Linked DNA regions of Arabidopsis thaliana. The protein of the gene in region 3 binds, or shares a complex with, the protein of the main gene of each other region. Each region holds a gene or a part of one and is shown on either strand. Other genes may lie near its edges.

Evidence for each region.
Region 1: AT1G23230 (region 3) and AT4G09070 share a complex: the UniProt entries of both Arabidopsis thaliana proteins name them as parts of the mediator complex.
Region 2: AT1G23230 (region 3) and AT5G02850 share a complex: the UniProt entries of both Arabidopsis thaliana proteins name them as parts of the mediator complex.

The regions. Positions count from the first base shown.
Region 1 is NC_003075.7:5,799,385-5,804,604, reverse strand, and holds AT4G09070 (TATA-binding related factor (TRF) of subunit 20 of Mediator complex), read right to left. Parts: upstream 2,298-5,220; coding exon 2,284-2,297; intron 2,185-2,283; coding exon 1,773-2,184; intron 1,447-1,772; coding exon 1,213-1,446; downstream 1-1,212. Other genes in the region: TOC75-IV (Outer membrane OMP85 family protein), read right to left, coding at 11-187; AT4G09060 (uncharacterized protein), read left to right, coding at 4,352-4,591, 4,680-4,952. UniProt on the Arabidopsis thaliana protein: Component of the Mediator complex, a coactivator involved in the regulated transcription of nearly all RNA polymerase II-dependent genes.
Region 2 is NC_003076.8:648,924-654,158, reverse strand, and holds AT5G02850 (hydroxyproline-rich glycoprotein family protein), read right to left. Parts: upstream 2,112-5,235; 5' UTR 2,001-2,111; coding exon 720-2,000; 3' UTR 396-719; downstream 1-395. Other genes in the region: AT5G02860 (Pentatricopeptide repeat (PPR) superfamily protein), read right to left, coding at 1-57; LCL1 (LHY/CCA1-like 1), read right to left, coding at 2,947-2,997, 3,239-3,298, 3,616-3,725, 3,804-3,929, 4,039-4,197, 4,281-4,404, 4,498-4,555, 5,172-5,235. UniProt on the Arabidopsis thaliana protein: Component of the Mediator complex, a coactivator involved in the regulated transcription of nearly all RNA polymerase II-dependent genes.
Region 3 is NC_003070.9:8,241,500-8,246,734, reverse strand, and holds the start of AT1G23230 (mediator of RNA polymerase II transcription subunit), read right to left. Parts: upstream 2,296-5,235; 5' UTR 2,255-2,295; coding exon 2,147-2,254; intron 2,067-2,146; coding exon 2,023-2,066; intron 1,937-2,022; coding exon 1,837-1,936; intron 1,750-1,836; coding exon 811-1,749; intron 675-810; coding exon 432-674; intron 225-431; coding exon 1-224. Other genes in the region: AT1G23220 (Dynein light chain type 1 family protein), read right to left, coding at 2,599-2,757, 3,891-4,121; GH9B6 (glycosyl hydrolase 9B6), read right to left, coding at 4,606-4,929, 5,015-5,235. UniProt on the Arabidopsis thaliana protein: Component of the Mediator complex, a coactivator involved in the regulated transcription of nearly all RNA polymerase II-dependent genes.

The DNA.
Region 1 (5,220 bases), on a different chromosome or scaffold from region 3:
CAATACATACCAAAGAAGGATCAAGACCCCACTTTTCTACTCTCTGATCTGTCTCATTAAGCTTGATCTCAAAAACAATACCATTATCTTTCTCATCTGCATGTGGTATGACTAAGGACTTAATCTTCCTCACAGCTTCCTTCACAGCTTCCATCACAATAACCTGAACAACAAAGAAGAAATCCATTAATACACACTAGAATAACTTAAGGTTCATTTCTCAGAGGAATTTCATCAAACACTTGGCAGACATCAAATTCTATTTTACAATTCTACTCAAATAGAAACTCTGTTAAAAGCCAAATCCTAAGCTAAACTCAAAGCAACGAAAGCAAAATTCTGAAATCTACTACTACAACGTGAACGAATCAACAAGGCAACACCAAAAAATCCACTGACTCAGATACAAATTTCAGTCTGGAATCGTAATCAAACACATGTTTAAAACCAAAATCCAAAGAAAAATAGCTCTCTGTAGTGATTTTGGTAGTTGATTTTGATCTTATCGCTTGTTCTTTGCGATTCAAGTTTTGAAATCAGTACAAAGAAAGAACACGAGAGAAACAAGCGATTTATGTACAATTTCTCGAAGATCAAACTCGATAATGCTTCACTCTCAAGAGGAATTAACAAAATTTCAGGTTACAGAAGAAGAGATTCAAAGCTACGTACCTACACGAGTCTTCTAGAGGTTGACGAAGAAGACGAAGAAGAAGAAGAATCTAGATCTGTCTCTCTCTCTACTCGATTTCTTCAAACTTGTAGCTCTCACACTTCTTTCTCTCTATATTGTTTGTTACTACCGGTAAGCTCTGTTTGGAAGAAAACATGCAATCGCAACCGCCAAAACTTCTTTGCGTTTTGATTCTGCATTTGGGATTCTTCTCATTTATGGGCCTTAAGCCCAACTCAATGACTGACCCAAATAACTAACACTAAGCCCAATCGTAATCCAACATTTTCGCTTTATTTATGCATTTTATAGACACAAGTGACCAGTAATTGAGTTTAGGGTCAAAAGATTCATAAAGTTTTCACAGTCATAAAACAAACCAAAAAGTTGGTAAGAAACTGAATTCACAATCTGCTCCAATCTCAAGTTTACAAATTGGTCTTCCAACTTTTTAAAACTACCATTTGTTTTTCAATCCTTAATGACTTCTAAAATCAATGATACCACAAAAACTCATAAAAGTCTTTGTTGTATTATCTTTAGCCTCTCCCAGCTTGAATTGCTGCCATCAAATTAGCCATGAAGAAAGCATATCCAACAGCGGTATGTTGCGGAGTGTAGTTGTCTCCAAGTCCAAACTTTTCAAAGTTGAGTTCTTTGTTCACAAACTTACCCGGCAACGACCTTTTCGACATAGCTTCTTGCCATATCTCCAAGAACTCCTCCATCAATTTTTTTGCCATTCCCATTGATGATATAGGAAGATACTCCACCTAAATAGTACACACACATAATTATAGGTTTCAAATGAAAGTAGTGCATAATAGCATAATGGCATAAGTTGATAGCACTAAAAATTCGTATAATGAAAACTTGTTGCATGGAAAACCGTAGATTATGCAAATTTTCTTAATTGACAAATTTTCTGCCTAATCACATTAGAAACCGTCATTATGTGTGTTACCAATCATAGCTAATAACCTTTAGTTACTGAGTTACATTACAAACTCCAAATTATGAATTAACTAGAGTGTTAGATAATCATTAACATTGATTATTAATATATCTCAACGTACTCAAAAGATATAAAATTTGTTACCTCCATGACTACGCCTCTAATGGTCTCAGCATGAGTAGGAACAACTTTACCAACTCTCAAACGAAAATCCCCAAGTTGATACTCAAGCCCTTCAAAGTAAAACGAGAGTTTGCATTTGTAAGACTGAAGGCTCTCCATGATCATTTGAATTGAAGAATCTGCTTCCACGACGATCCTTTGCGACCTGATGACGAAATAGTACTTATCTGGCTCCTCCGGAAGCGAAATTCCTACAAATTCACGCGGGAACTCAGCTTGATTCGCCTGATCTTGCAACATGGGTTTGTAATAGTTGAGAGTGGCTTTCCATGTTCCCTCTTTGACGCCATTGAGACTCTCTATGCTTTGTGTTACTTCGTTTAGGATTTGGCTGCTAAATGTTGATCCCTGATTTGGTTGCCAATGCAAAAGCCTGGAAAAGTATTCCCCCAAAGAAATTTGAAAAAAGGTTAACGTATTATAAAAGAAATTACAATAATGGTTATTTAGTTTATGTAATCATCAAACCTACCATTTGACGGGCATGGCTAATGGAGGTACAACAAATTTCACTTGACAACAAAATTAAAAAAAAATGATCTCTATTAATTTACAATAATACACAAACAATAATATCTTATATAATATAGTTGTATTCAGATATATAATTTACCAAAAAACAAAATGATAAAACTTTACAATAAAGCAAAAAATTATTTAATCAAAAAATACTTTTTGATAGAATTTCAATCAGTGTTCATAAGGAAAATACATTTAAATGCTCAAATGGAGTTCATTTTTTTAATCATTTCTTTCATTTGAAATAGAACGTGGTCTATATGGAAAGGAAAATTTATTTTTAAAAGTAATTTACAGACCAAAAATAATACATATGCATCAACTTTGGAATCATAATACAAATTTCATTTTTTAATAAATAATTATAACATAGAGAATAATTAGATATTTTAGTGCATGTGCACAATTACATAAGTGTACTCACCCTTATCAAGATAAAAGGGAAGAAAATATAAATTCTTATAAGAAAAAAATAAAGTAACTTTTGACTTTAAATAAAAAGGAAACAAATCTAAGAAATTAATGTTATAATTAAATTATTTACCAAAATTAATTGAAAAATAAGAAACATTTTTTTACAAAAACTAAAGAAATTCATTAGATCTGCTATGAGTATCCGTTTGGGATCACACGTTCTGTGATAGTAGTAGATCGACAACAGATTAACTAAACGAATCAAATATGAAATATATCACTTCTTGAATACAATCTAAATATAAAATTCATACATCTCGGATAAACAACTCAATTCTGCTTCTAAGTATATTTAGTTTATAAAACGATGCTTTTTATCTTTATCTTATCTAAATCATTTTAAAAAGATGAGTTGAAGGCATAGTAAAGACTTTTAGGCTTAATAATCATCGAGCCATAAAAACAAAATACAAGATTAGATTGCGAGAAACACTTACCGATGAAAGAGATTTCTGGTGATGATCTTCTTGGGAATACGTAGTATAACGAAAAATTAAGACTCGTACACTGCATTATATAGAGAAAAGCATAGGAGTTTGTTTGTTTTACTAAGATAAAACGACCTCGTTTAAACTACCTCATTTAAAACGACTTCGTGTAAAATTATGTGTTTCTTAAAATGACCTTGTTTTTAAAAAGGTTTTCTTAGGAAATGAGTGGTGAAAACATGAATGAATCTAACCGAACTTATCCAAATTCGAATAATACTAATAGTTTAAAATCTTATAAATAGAATTATTGGAACTGAACCTTAAATCAAATTTAAATTTTATGAAACTGAACAAAATTAACTGAACGAATCAAAATTCCTAATGTATATATCTCATCTAATCATCTAAATAAAAATAAAGGTTTGATTCATGTTTCTTCTCATCTTTCGTTCATTTTTTATGCATAGTCATGAAACATTAAGGTTTCATTCCACCCAATGATATAATTTTTTTTTATCCTAGTACACTCAAAAAATGAAAAATTTATATAGAAATAAATTGGAAATTGATACAATTATATAATTGAATGATACGCTTTTGCTTAATACTAGTCAAGATGAAAAAATAAAAATAAACCAATAAAAAAAATTGAGCTGAAAATAGAGGAAAAATAATTACTTAGTTGATAATTATTTGTTTGATATAATGACATTAAATTGTAATTTTAGGTAATCACTTTTTGTTGATATTTAAAATACGTTTTTAAACAAAAACAAAACCGAAATAAAAAACCAACTCGAACAAAAACCGAATTGTGTCAAACCGAACAGAGAAAAAAAAAAGTTTTCCACAAGTAAAACCGACAAAATAAACCAAACCGGATCCCAAAAACCATAACCAAAAAATTGCATTAGGAGCCAAATATTTCCGCCACTTAAAACATGCCACGTAGGCACGAATCGATCGATGCAATAACTTTTGTAACGGCTACAAACTTCTGATTTCATTTTTGAAATTCTTCTCTTCCGTCTCTTTTACTAATTCCCCTTTCTTCTTCTTCCTATTGAAACCCTAAATTCTCTTCTTGAAATCCAAATCTTGTTTCAAGAGTAAACCATGCGGAGCGAGAGAATTGATTCAGATGAAGCAGAAACAAAATCGAGAACAAATCTCTCGCAAGAAGTCGAAGAATATATCAAAGATACAATTGATCATTCTTTAGGTCTTCCGATCTCCATGGAATCTCTTCAGAAGAAGCTTTATACGGCTGAAGAATCTCAACGCCGTCTTCGCGAACAGTATCAGGGTCTGATTTCGCGATTAAAGGAGAAAGATCATGTAATCGATCGTGTTAGGGTTAGTAATTTCTTTCTGGGTATCTTTCGTTTTCTGGGATTTGATTGATTTGAATCTGAATCTTTTTTTTTTTTTTTTTTTTTATAAGTCTGAAGCGAGTATGAATGCGCAAGCGTTGAAGAAGTTTGTTGAAGAGAATCAGAAATTGGCTAGTGAGTGTGGGAATTTGTTGAGTCAGTGTAAGAAATTGGAGAAAGAGTGTTTGCTTTATCATCAAGATCGTGATGCGTTGATGGAGTTTGGGAATGAATCTGATGAGAGAGCTAGAGAAGCAGAAGCTAGGGTTCGTGAATTGGAGGATGAAATTGGAAGAATGTCTGAGGAAATGCAGAGATTTAAGCGTCAAATCGGAGATGGTGAAGTAAGAGTTTCTTCATATTAACCCTAAATTTTCTTTAATTGGGTTAAGTTGGGTTTAGAATTGCATTGCCCTCGAGTAAATTAGTTTGCTTTTTGCACTTGCTGGTTTATAGTTTGGTTAGCTTGTTCTTGATGAAATGGTTACTCAAGTGCTATTGTCTTCTCTCTACTCTTTAATTAGCACATGGGGTACCATCATTTGGTTTTCTTTGTTAAGTTGACAACTTGATTTATCTAAGTTCTCATGAAGTTTGACTTCTCATTGAGTC
Region 2 (5,235 bases), on a different chromosome or scaffold from region 3:
AGGTTTAGAGGAAGGAGTGCAGGGAAGGAGAAGAGGAAGAGCTAGCTTGTCCGCCATTAGAGGTAGTAGTAGTAGTAGAAACTAGAAAAGAACCAGGAGGCAACCGAGAGTGAAAGAAGAAGAGAAATGAATGGATATTTTTGTCAGATTTTTTTTATTATATTTTTTTGTTCCAAGAACACAATTTTAGTTTTATTTCCCTACAATTATATTCGACCACGTGGCTAGTCCAGATTCAACAGGTTAGATCTAAATGGGCTACTACTTATTTTGTCAACCCATTATATTATTAGAAGCCCAAATGGAACAATAAACTGTACAATAAAGAAATGGGCAGAAAGAGCCTCTGATATGTATGTATGACCTAAGAGGGATTTTACTTTGTCGTATAGAGAGATCGATCCAAAATGTCAAGTTGCATAACTCCAATAGTTGAACATTCTGAATTTTACTAATAATTTGAAATTTGAAGCTAAAGAATGATTCTGGAAAAAAGATAACCAATAATTCTGTAAACTGAATTAGAATCCAGGGTTTTCGTAAGAAACAACTTTGATACATCAAAGATACTGATAACGATGAAGCATATACTAACATCTATCCACATAAAGGCACTGCTAAACAAAACGAAACCAAGTAGAAAATCAAACTTGATCAAGAATTAGCAGTAACATTGGTCAAATCATTACCTTACAGAGAACCATCAATCACAATGTTGATTAATCCTCATCATCTGAGCTTGCATCATCGCTGCTGTAATCACTGCTATCATCATCCTCCAAAATGTCAAGTTGAACAGCTCGGACCTGTATGACATCAGGCGGTCTGTGGAGTCCCTGAGAAGGTCTCATATGTTGATGATCCTCTGCTCTAGGTGCAGCAATTGACTCCAGTGGCGGTAACACAACTGGGTCGCCTGGTTTCCATCCAGGAGGTGGCAATGGTAAATCTCTAGGCAATTCGACTGGCATTCCTGGTTTCCATCCTGAAGGAACTGCGATATTCGGCGGAAGCAGGTTGTGAATAGCAGATATATCCATAGCTTCTGGTGGTGGTGGTGGCTCAATCAGTGCTTCAACCTTCTTCTCCATGTTTTCTACTGTTTTCGGCAGACCGATATCAAGATCAGCGAAAGTGTAGAGCTGGGAAGCTCTCATTTGTTCGTCTTGTGGAGCTGGTGGTAATGCACCACGGAGAGGTGCTTGCCCTGCACCGAATTCCGGCGGAGCAAATGTGGTGTAGCTAATCTTGTGAGCGTAAGCTAATATGTCCTTTAACTTGAGCTGAGACGAAACTGTGGTTGAAGAAGAAGAAGACTCATTATCATTGTCTTCGTCATCTTCTTCAATTTTGCTTCGTTTTGGTTTGCGGTAATCGGAGTAGTCGTCAACAAGCATATCGAGAACACGTTCTGCATCCTTGAGTTTGTTAGCGAAAGCGAGAAGAGATGAATCTTTGGATTTGATCTCACGCGCCACCTTCTGCTTCGCGTCTTGCAGATCGAGGATCTCTTGAAGCTCTGTAACGGCTTCGAAGAGCTGAGTCTGGAGGGAATTGAATTGAGAGAGGATCTCCTTCGTGGATGAAGGACTAGGGTTTTCAAGCGGCGGCGGAGGTGGTAACGAGTGTGAGGAGAGGAACGAAGGGAGAGAGCCACGGAAAGCTGAGAGCCAGATAGCTCGATTGGGAGAGACGTCGAAGAGCTTAGATGTCAAAACCGCCATCTGCTGGAGAAGAGCTTGAGCTCGCGGTAATGGAGGAAGGAGCGATAGCAAGGCGGAGGATGAAACAGCCGCCGAAGCTGAGGCTGAGGAAGCGGCGGCGACGGTGGAGGAAGGAAGTAGATTAGGCTGTTGTTGGATCTGTTGGTGCTGAGATTGGGAAGATGAAGAAGAGGTTGGATGGCCATGACGAGTAGGCGTCGGATTTTGTACGGAAGGAGAGCCAGGACCTGTTAACCCTAATCTCGCCGGAGATTGTACGATCTGATGCTGTAGCATCTTCGCCGACGGCGAAAGAATCTCTTAAATCGAAGATAATTAAAGAGACGAAGCTTCTCTTCTCTGTTTAGTGTTCAACTGTTTATACAAAATTCGCAAACCCTCAGTATCAATTAGAAAAGTCTAAAGACCCGCTAAAACCATACCGATACGGTTCAATTTCCTAATTACCATTAACCTGGCTTTCGAACAATTGTTATTGACAATAACAGAGACGAATCATGGACGTTAACGCTTGATACAAGTGCAATACAACAGAGTTATGTATCTCACTTCCGAGTTAAGTAACAATTTGCTACTGTGTTACATAGCTTTTGGTTAAACAGATAACCAGAAAATAACCAATCAGAGAACGAGGTAAAGAAACTTACATATTACAAAAGGCATGAAAAAATAATTATCAAAAAGAAGATACAATTGGTAACCATTTTCTACACACACATACATATATCTACCATTCACACGACTGGTTCTGACCGAAACTGCATATGTTCCTCTTGTTTGTGACGACGACTCAGTTATGTTCTCCTCAGACAACAACCGTAGAATGCATCTGACACAATCCACCATATACAGAGATCAATAGCAATTTGGTAGACCGTAAGAGCAATATTCTTAAGACCTTAAGGGTAGTGTAATCAGAATAATAGCAGCAACGCTGAGAATATAACAGTTATGATCTACAGATCATTCTTATTATGACGTTCGATCATGTGAGACAATAACTACAGTAACAAATGAGAAACATTAAGGTGAAAACCTTAGTGAACTGTGGTGTTAGGTTTCGATATAATCTATTAAGTCAATGCGAACGTTCTTATTATAGTGTTTTATATTGGTGTCGGAGGGATGCGGTATAACACCAAACTTACTTGATAGCTGGTAGAGAGTTGTTGCGAGCAAGAAGTCGTCAAGAAGATATATAACTTGTTGAGTGCACAAACAGCTAAGAGCTTAAGTGTTCATGACCTTCCTCTGCAGCATCAACATATTCAGACTAAATTATGGTTAGATTATATCTCATAGAGCACAACAATCCTCATTTAATCATTGGAACGGTTAAAAACATAACACACTAAAGGCGAACTAGTCTTAATTTCTATAGTTAAACTTCAAGGCAGATAGTAAGTAGGTTTGTTAGCTGTTAGAGACTTTTTCTCACTCATTCTTATCACGAAAAGACAAATGTGCCTCACATACTCAACGAGCACAGAAGTAATGATAAAATTATAACTTACAGTAGGTTCAAAGTCAGGGTTTGACAAGTTCACTGTGAGGTTTCTCATCAACAGCAAAACCTGCAAGAAAAACTGTGATTAGTGACGGATACTAGGAAAAAGAACAATCACTGACAGCTACAAATAGGTACCATGACACCTAAAACTGACTCATGGTTGTAACAATCCCATTATTTGACCAACATCTCCATAGAATCATGGTACTTTGGCTTTTTGGTGTTTCCAACTCGTGAATCTATATATTGCAAGTACTGATCTTTATATTTATCTTCTCACACAGCTGAATTTATTCGGGAACTCAAAGAAGAAGACTAAATGATTGATATGCTGCAACACACATATCAGTTAATCTAAAGGCAAGTAAAGCTCCAACTCACAGTTTCGAAATTTATAGGATCCATTTCCTTGAGCTTTTTCATGCGGCCTTTGCTGTCAGGATCGAACACACTCCCAATGAAGTTATAAACCTCAGCAAAATCAGGAAGACCTGCAAAGCAACCATTACAACAGCGTCCACCACAAAATGAAAACTAAGAAATAGTCCCTCAATTGTTCAGATAATTACCATGCATTGAGGGAGCTTGTTTCGCCAGTCTCAAACCCTTAGAATCTGATAGTGTTCTGCTTGAGCTTCCGATACCAGATGCTGAAGGACTAGTTTCACTTATCATGTCATTTGATCCAACATCAACTGAAACAATGATATGTAAGCCGCATTTAGCATATGAAAACTTCAGAAGATAGAGTGACTAGACTACCAAAGCAAAATATAAAAACTGAGTACAGATGAGAACGCATGCCTTCTGCTCCACAAAGAGTATCAAGTTCATCTTCTGGTGGAATAACCCCACTTACAGCAATGTTTAACAATGCAGATGTATCATCATCCCATGGAGTATATCCAGGCAGGTTATTTATTTGAGTAGGAAAGGACATGGAAACGTGAAGCGACATTTGAGCTGCAGATTTGAGTTGAAATCAGATTGATTACATGTTACTCCATCTGTCAACCCAAAGTAATATCTATTACAATAGAACTAACCATTTTTCGATGCCTTTTGAGGATATGGATGAGCAGCTTTGCGCTTAGGCCTAGGGGGTGGAACATGTGCTAAAGTCCCATTTTTTTGGACCTTTAGAAAGTATTTTTGGGCATGGCTCCTGATCTGCAGTAAATCAAACAGGCACAGGATGATTGAGTGGGGAAATGTGCCAAGGTTGTATATTAAACCAAAAATCCAAAGAAGCTGATCTCAAACCTGAATAACTGTCTTTGAACCAACAAAATCTTCTATCTTTTTCCAGTCACGATCAAACCTAAGGACACGAGAAAATTGTCAGGACAAAGTAAGATTCTTTTTTCTAAAAGAGAGAGAAGCCTTTCACACACACAAAAGAGCAATGTAATATGTGGAAGTAACGAACCATTACCAAAATCTGAATTGTAGTTTAGGACTGTAGTTGGAAATTGGTTTCATGCATAGCTCTAAAAGCTGACTTGTAGTAAGTTTTTTCAGTTCTCATGTTAAACATTTTTAATAAAGAAAGATACGACTTCTGCAAAATACCACTATTTATGCAGAAACCAGATGCCAAGTCCTCTACTCAATCATTTTGGCAACCTAAGATAAGCTTAAACCATACTTCGGTTTTATGAGAAGAAACATTCATCAGCGATTAATATAAATTCTGATCTATCGAATATACAATCCAACCTAACAAATCAAAGAAGACATTGTTGCTTCTGCAAAATCCAATTGCATACGCAAAACTCCAGATGATCTACCACATAACCAAACTTCGATCTGATTAAGCAAATTAAGTAGAAATTACGCGAAATTACGCAAAATTCAGCTATAAATTAGAGCTCGAAACACAAAGAATCAGTCAATCAAATAGCTGGTGGAAGAAAAAAAGAGCGCGGTAAAATTACAATTGAAGAGCTTCCAGAAACTTGTCGTGTTCTCCTTCAGTCCAACTCTCTCTAGACTTGGTGA
Region 3 (5,235 bases):
ATTATTTGTGCAAGCAGCCAAGTCACATGATTCGTCCGAAGAATATGGTTATCAACACCGTTAAGGCGTAAAACCAACTTGTCAATGAAATCAACAAAATCAGTACACCCACTTTTGATTAGAAAGAAGAATATATCCGAGAAAACCAGCCACTCTTGCCAGCAATTTGCATCTGCATAGAGAGGGGGAAAAGTAACAGATACCAAATCAATACCAAAGCAATCCTAGTATAATGGTATCTCAACTCTTACTTTTATCTTTTCTATCTAAGCCTAACGAATCAACGATTATAGAACTAGAATAAAACGTAAAGGATGTAGGTTCTTTACAGATTGTGACGACTAGCAAAACCACTTGCTATTTCAAAATAATTTCCACAGATTTAAATGGAAGTGACAGATCAAAGACATGAGAAATAGGGAAAGACAAACATTGCCTGAGTTGGTCAGCTTAAGAAGCTCAACAATTCTGTCAATGATTGCCTCACAAATCATGTCAGAAGTGAATACAGCACCAGGGATAGGCCCTGCTTGTGTAGATGGTCTATAACAAGGGGCCACAACAAGAACACGCTTCCACCAGTCCGGTGACGGTGTAGTGCGAATAGCATGTCTAATGCAACGCACTGCTCTCTCCCAATCCAGGCTTCCTTTTGGAATAGACATCGCCAGATCCTGCCGGTGTCGAAAAAGAAGAAGAGAGGATTGAAATTCACAAATTGTCTGCCTAATGAAAAGCGTATACATTACACAATATCAACAAGAGCCAACTAAGCTATGAAACCAATCTCCACAATTTCATAGGAATCACCTCTCCATATAAAGGTTCCCCAAGCACACTTGGATATGTAATTGGTGAATGTCGTAAGTGTGGCACAGCTTCGGGTGGAACATTGGCAGTTATTTGGGAGACTATACGATGGGTACCAAATGATGGACAGTGAAGATGTTGGTCCAACATGAGCATATGCATGGCCATCGCATCTCGCCTCCGGTGTATCTCCATGATAAGAGTGAACAAGGCTTCATCATCAGGTATGTTCTCTATAAACTGTAGACCACTGCGCAATAACTCATAAAACGGAATTCGAGATTCACCCTCTTCTACCAACAGCCAGATCACATCCAAACAACTCCGCAACCATTCAGCTAAAGTCTTCTCAGATCTCCACGACTTTCCTACAGAGTCCTCAGTTCCCAGATCTCTCCTGTCCCAGTTAACAAGCCAATTCATCATGTACTGGAAAATCTCGGCATGAGTAACGGGTTTGAGACTAGATTCAACGCCAATCAAGATAATCTTGCAACTGAGCTGACGCAGACTGTTTACAGCAGCAGCTCTAATCCGTTGACTATTTCTCATAGCATTCTCTCTTACAATCTGGCCAGCTCTTGCAATCTGCTGCCCATTCTCCACAGATTTCACCTCTGAAGCTGATGGAGAACCAATACCATGAGCTGAAGGCAGCAATGACGTTGGATTCACAGACACAGGAACTACAGACTGCGAAGAAGTAGCAGAAGAACCAGCCGTTGCCGCTGCTGCTTGAACACCTTGGCTTAACGACGCCTCAGCAGCGGAAACGGAAGAGAGAAGGGATGGTAAAAAAGTATCCCAATTGATATAACTAATCCTACACAATGTACGCAAAGCAAAGAGTAGAAACTCAGCACGAGGCGCATGATTGCTACATTGCACCACCAGAGATATCAAAACTGACTCAGTAATCGTCCTCAATTGCTCTGGATCCTAACAAAGAGTTGGAAAAAAAAAAAAAACTTTATCTTACGAAATCACAAAGAGAAAGATAAAGATAGTTAAAAAACGAGACTTTACATTGAATTGGCTCTGAAGCAGCTCAAAATCCAAAAGGAATTGCTCGTTTCTTGGTGGTAAGTCTCTATTAGGAGCATGAACACGCTTCTGTGATTTGTTCCTGATCAAAACAATCAACATGGATAAAATCAAACACAGAAGGAAGAGAAAACAAGAGTTGATTCAGAATCAATAGAAACAACATACGGGGGATCTCGGAGGGACTCATCAGGCTTTTGACGGCTTCCTCTCTGTGATAGAGAAAGCAAAATCAGCAGAGAAACAAAATTCGATGAAAAAAATTGGGAGATTGGAGAAGAGATTAACCAACCCCTAAGTAGAGATTGAAAAGATCGATAATTGCAGCACGAGCTGGGTGGAATTGGTACGATCGAGAAGACGATGGCGTTGCAGCGACTGTTCGCTGCGATTGATCCATTTTTTTTTCTTCTTCACTGATTCTTTTTTTCTTTGATGCTTATAAAACGGAGGAGCAAAATTGGTATTAGAGGTTTTGGGTTTAAAGCTCTTTTGAAGAGAAGAAAATGTCAACAACAACAACAACACAACAACGAAAAAAACAAAATTAGAATTTGAGAAAGAGAAGAACAATATTTTGCATTGTGAAGTTGAAACGATTCACAGTAGAGAAGATGACTTCTAATTACACAATAGGAGCCACAAAGATTTTGTCTTAGGCAGAATTACATTGTGGGATACAAGACAGAGAATTCTAAAAGAAAAGGATTAAATTGAAGATGCTCTGATCATCAACGTTTTATCTCATTTTTGATCTAACGGCTCCACGGCAGTCTTGAAGAGAAGAACGTAAACTTTGTCGATCTGAAAATATAGGAATCCTCCTGTGGAATGAGTCACGTATGAACCAAAGCTTGTTCCAACAATGCAGTGCCATGCCGGGCCGTAGGCTGAATCGAAGTCCTGAAATGGAAGACAGATGGAAAACTGTTTCGTGAATATATAGTTTTAAATCAGCTGCAACATGTCATTAGACAGATGGGAGTCTAAGATTCACTTCAGTGGATAACATAGAAGCTGGATTTAGGAGAAAACATAGAGACAAGAAACATATGAAGATCTATTTCGAGATAAGAGATCTATATTACCAGAACAAGAAGATAAAACAAGACAACAGCAGAAATTGACTCGTATGTCAATCCTAAAAGCCAAAGGGAGGTAGCCATTATTAAGAGATTGATGAACACTGAGACAAACAAGTAAGCTGCACACAGATAAGTGAACACTAAATTGTTTTACTCAACCACTTCATAAAATCAATGTATGGATCAATCAATGCCTCTACCTAGTCGCATAAATTGAGGGAACTGCTCCATTTCGCTCCATAAGTTAAAATCAAAAGCTAATTATCAAAGCCGCTTTAAGAAGGAACAATATCCTCACGAGAAACAACTGCATAAATGGACAACTCTATATATGGGGTGTCGAACCAAGTCCTTTGTAAAAGGTTGTATTCAGGCAAGGCTCACTTCCTAAAGCAAGCATGCTTCAGAGTTATCATTAGGTAGCAACTAATTTCTAACAGCAAAGATACAGAAGCTTAGCAGATGGTGCATGCTATGCCTCATTAGTTATGGCCTAAGACAGCTCCAAAATCATCTCAATAAACAACAAGAACATCCAGTTTCAAGACATTTCACAACGAGACTCCTACTACAGTTATCCTCGCAATACAAAAACAACCTAGTCAAGTAGACTAACCGAAGCTACAAATAGAAAAGACAACAACAATGGAACAAAGTCAAATGCAACCTAACAAATATGGGACCATCCATGAAGTTCAACAATATGCAAGTACACAAACGAAAATCCAAATTCAAGATTCATCACATCTTCAAACCAATCAAGAAAGAGAAGACCATAACCACATTCTACAAAAAGCATGCGACTTTGAGACGTAGCCCTAGAACCCAAAAGCAGCTCAATACTTTTAGATTCTGTGTCAAAATTCAAAACTCAATCCAAGTACTAGACTTCAATGACTCCAATTCAACCCAAATACAGAAAAATCATGAGAGAGATACAAAAGATCTAACCTTTTTTAGGGCATGAGCGAGTCTTTTGTTATCAGCCTTCCCTGGAGTAGCATTCAAAATCTCACGCGACAAACTAAAGGCTCTGTTCTGTTGAGGCAAAGGCATATCTGAAGCCCTAACACGAACATTGAACTCATCTTTCTGATCTTGCTGTTCTTTAGCCTTCTTCTTCTGTATCAAACTGTTCAAGAACTTGCTTCTTCTTTCTAATTCTAGCTCAACTCCTTCCATCTCTATCACATCACTCGTCTAAGCCCCTCGTTTTCACTTTTTCCTCCGTCTAATCGGAGAGAAAAACCAAGCTTAGTGTCTGTCTCCTTGTTAGTTCTTAAGCTGATTCAGAAACGAGCACCATCTGTTTGACAAAATGTCTGAGAGTGAGAAGAGGTAATTGCGTGGAGGAGACAAAATAGCGTTCTTTTGTGTTAAGCGTAAAGCAGCCGACCAAAGTCCAAAAGACAAATTCCTGATTTTTGATTAGTTTGGTCATCAAAATATTAATTACTCTTGTCTCCCCCTTTCTCTCATTATTACTCTTTGTTTTTCCTAACTCCCATATGATTAAAAATTGATTATTGTGTACTCGATTAATTTATACAATTATTTGTTCGTAGATTTAGAGAATCTAGTGAATCTACTAATCGGTAACAATCAACTAAAAATGTTTCACAACAAAAATAGACTTTCATGCTTCGTTCGAGTTCGAGGTGTGAAATCAATAATGGGCCGAGAAATAACCAAGTAGGCCCAAAAGAGGTGCGTTGATATAAGTAGTGGGCTCAGTCAGCTGAAAGTAAGGTCTCGAATCAGGAAAATCGTCGGTGATATTAGGCCCACCAACGACGGCGCCAATTAGCAAATTAGGATTAGGATTATTGCTGAAGAAATAACGAGATCCGTCTTTGCACCCTATACGATCAGGATGGTCCACAACTGAAGGAACCGAGCTGCCACGATGATGAATCTTCTGTGGAAACCTCGAACCATACCCAACCATGTACGACATTTTCATTGGATTATCTCCTAGTATGTAGTCCACCTATGTTAACGTACGCCACCAAACACTTACGTTAATGAATCTCTCTATTATGCTAAAACAGAGGAATGTTGGTTAGTTTAGTTACCTGACGCTTGGCGACTTGACGGAGAAGAGCAGGAGAAGCTGTAAATTCGCCACATGGCACCACCTTATTTGCGTGGCTTAGGTAATTAGAGTATGTTAGTAACAAAAAAGACAAAGATGTTACATGTTGCATATTACTTCCTCCACTCTTCACTAATAATCCTCCTTGTGAGTATTGGACTTGAGGGTGAGAAATTCCAGGCAATAAAGAACAGATAAACT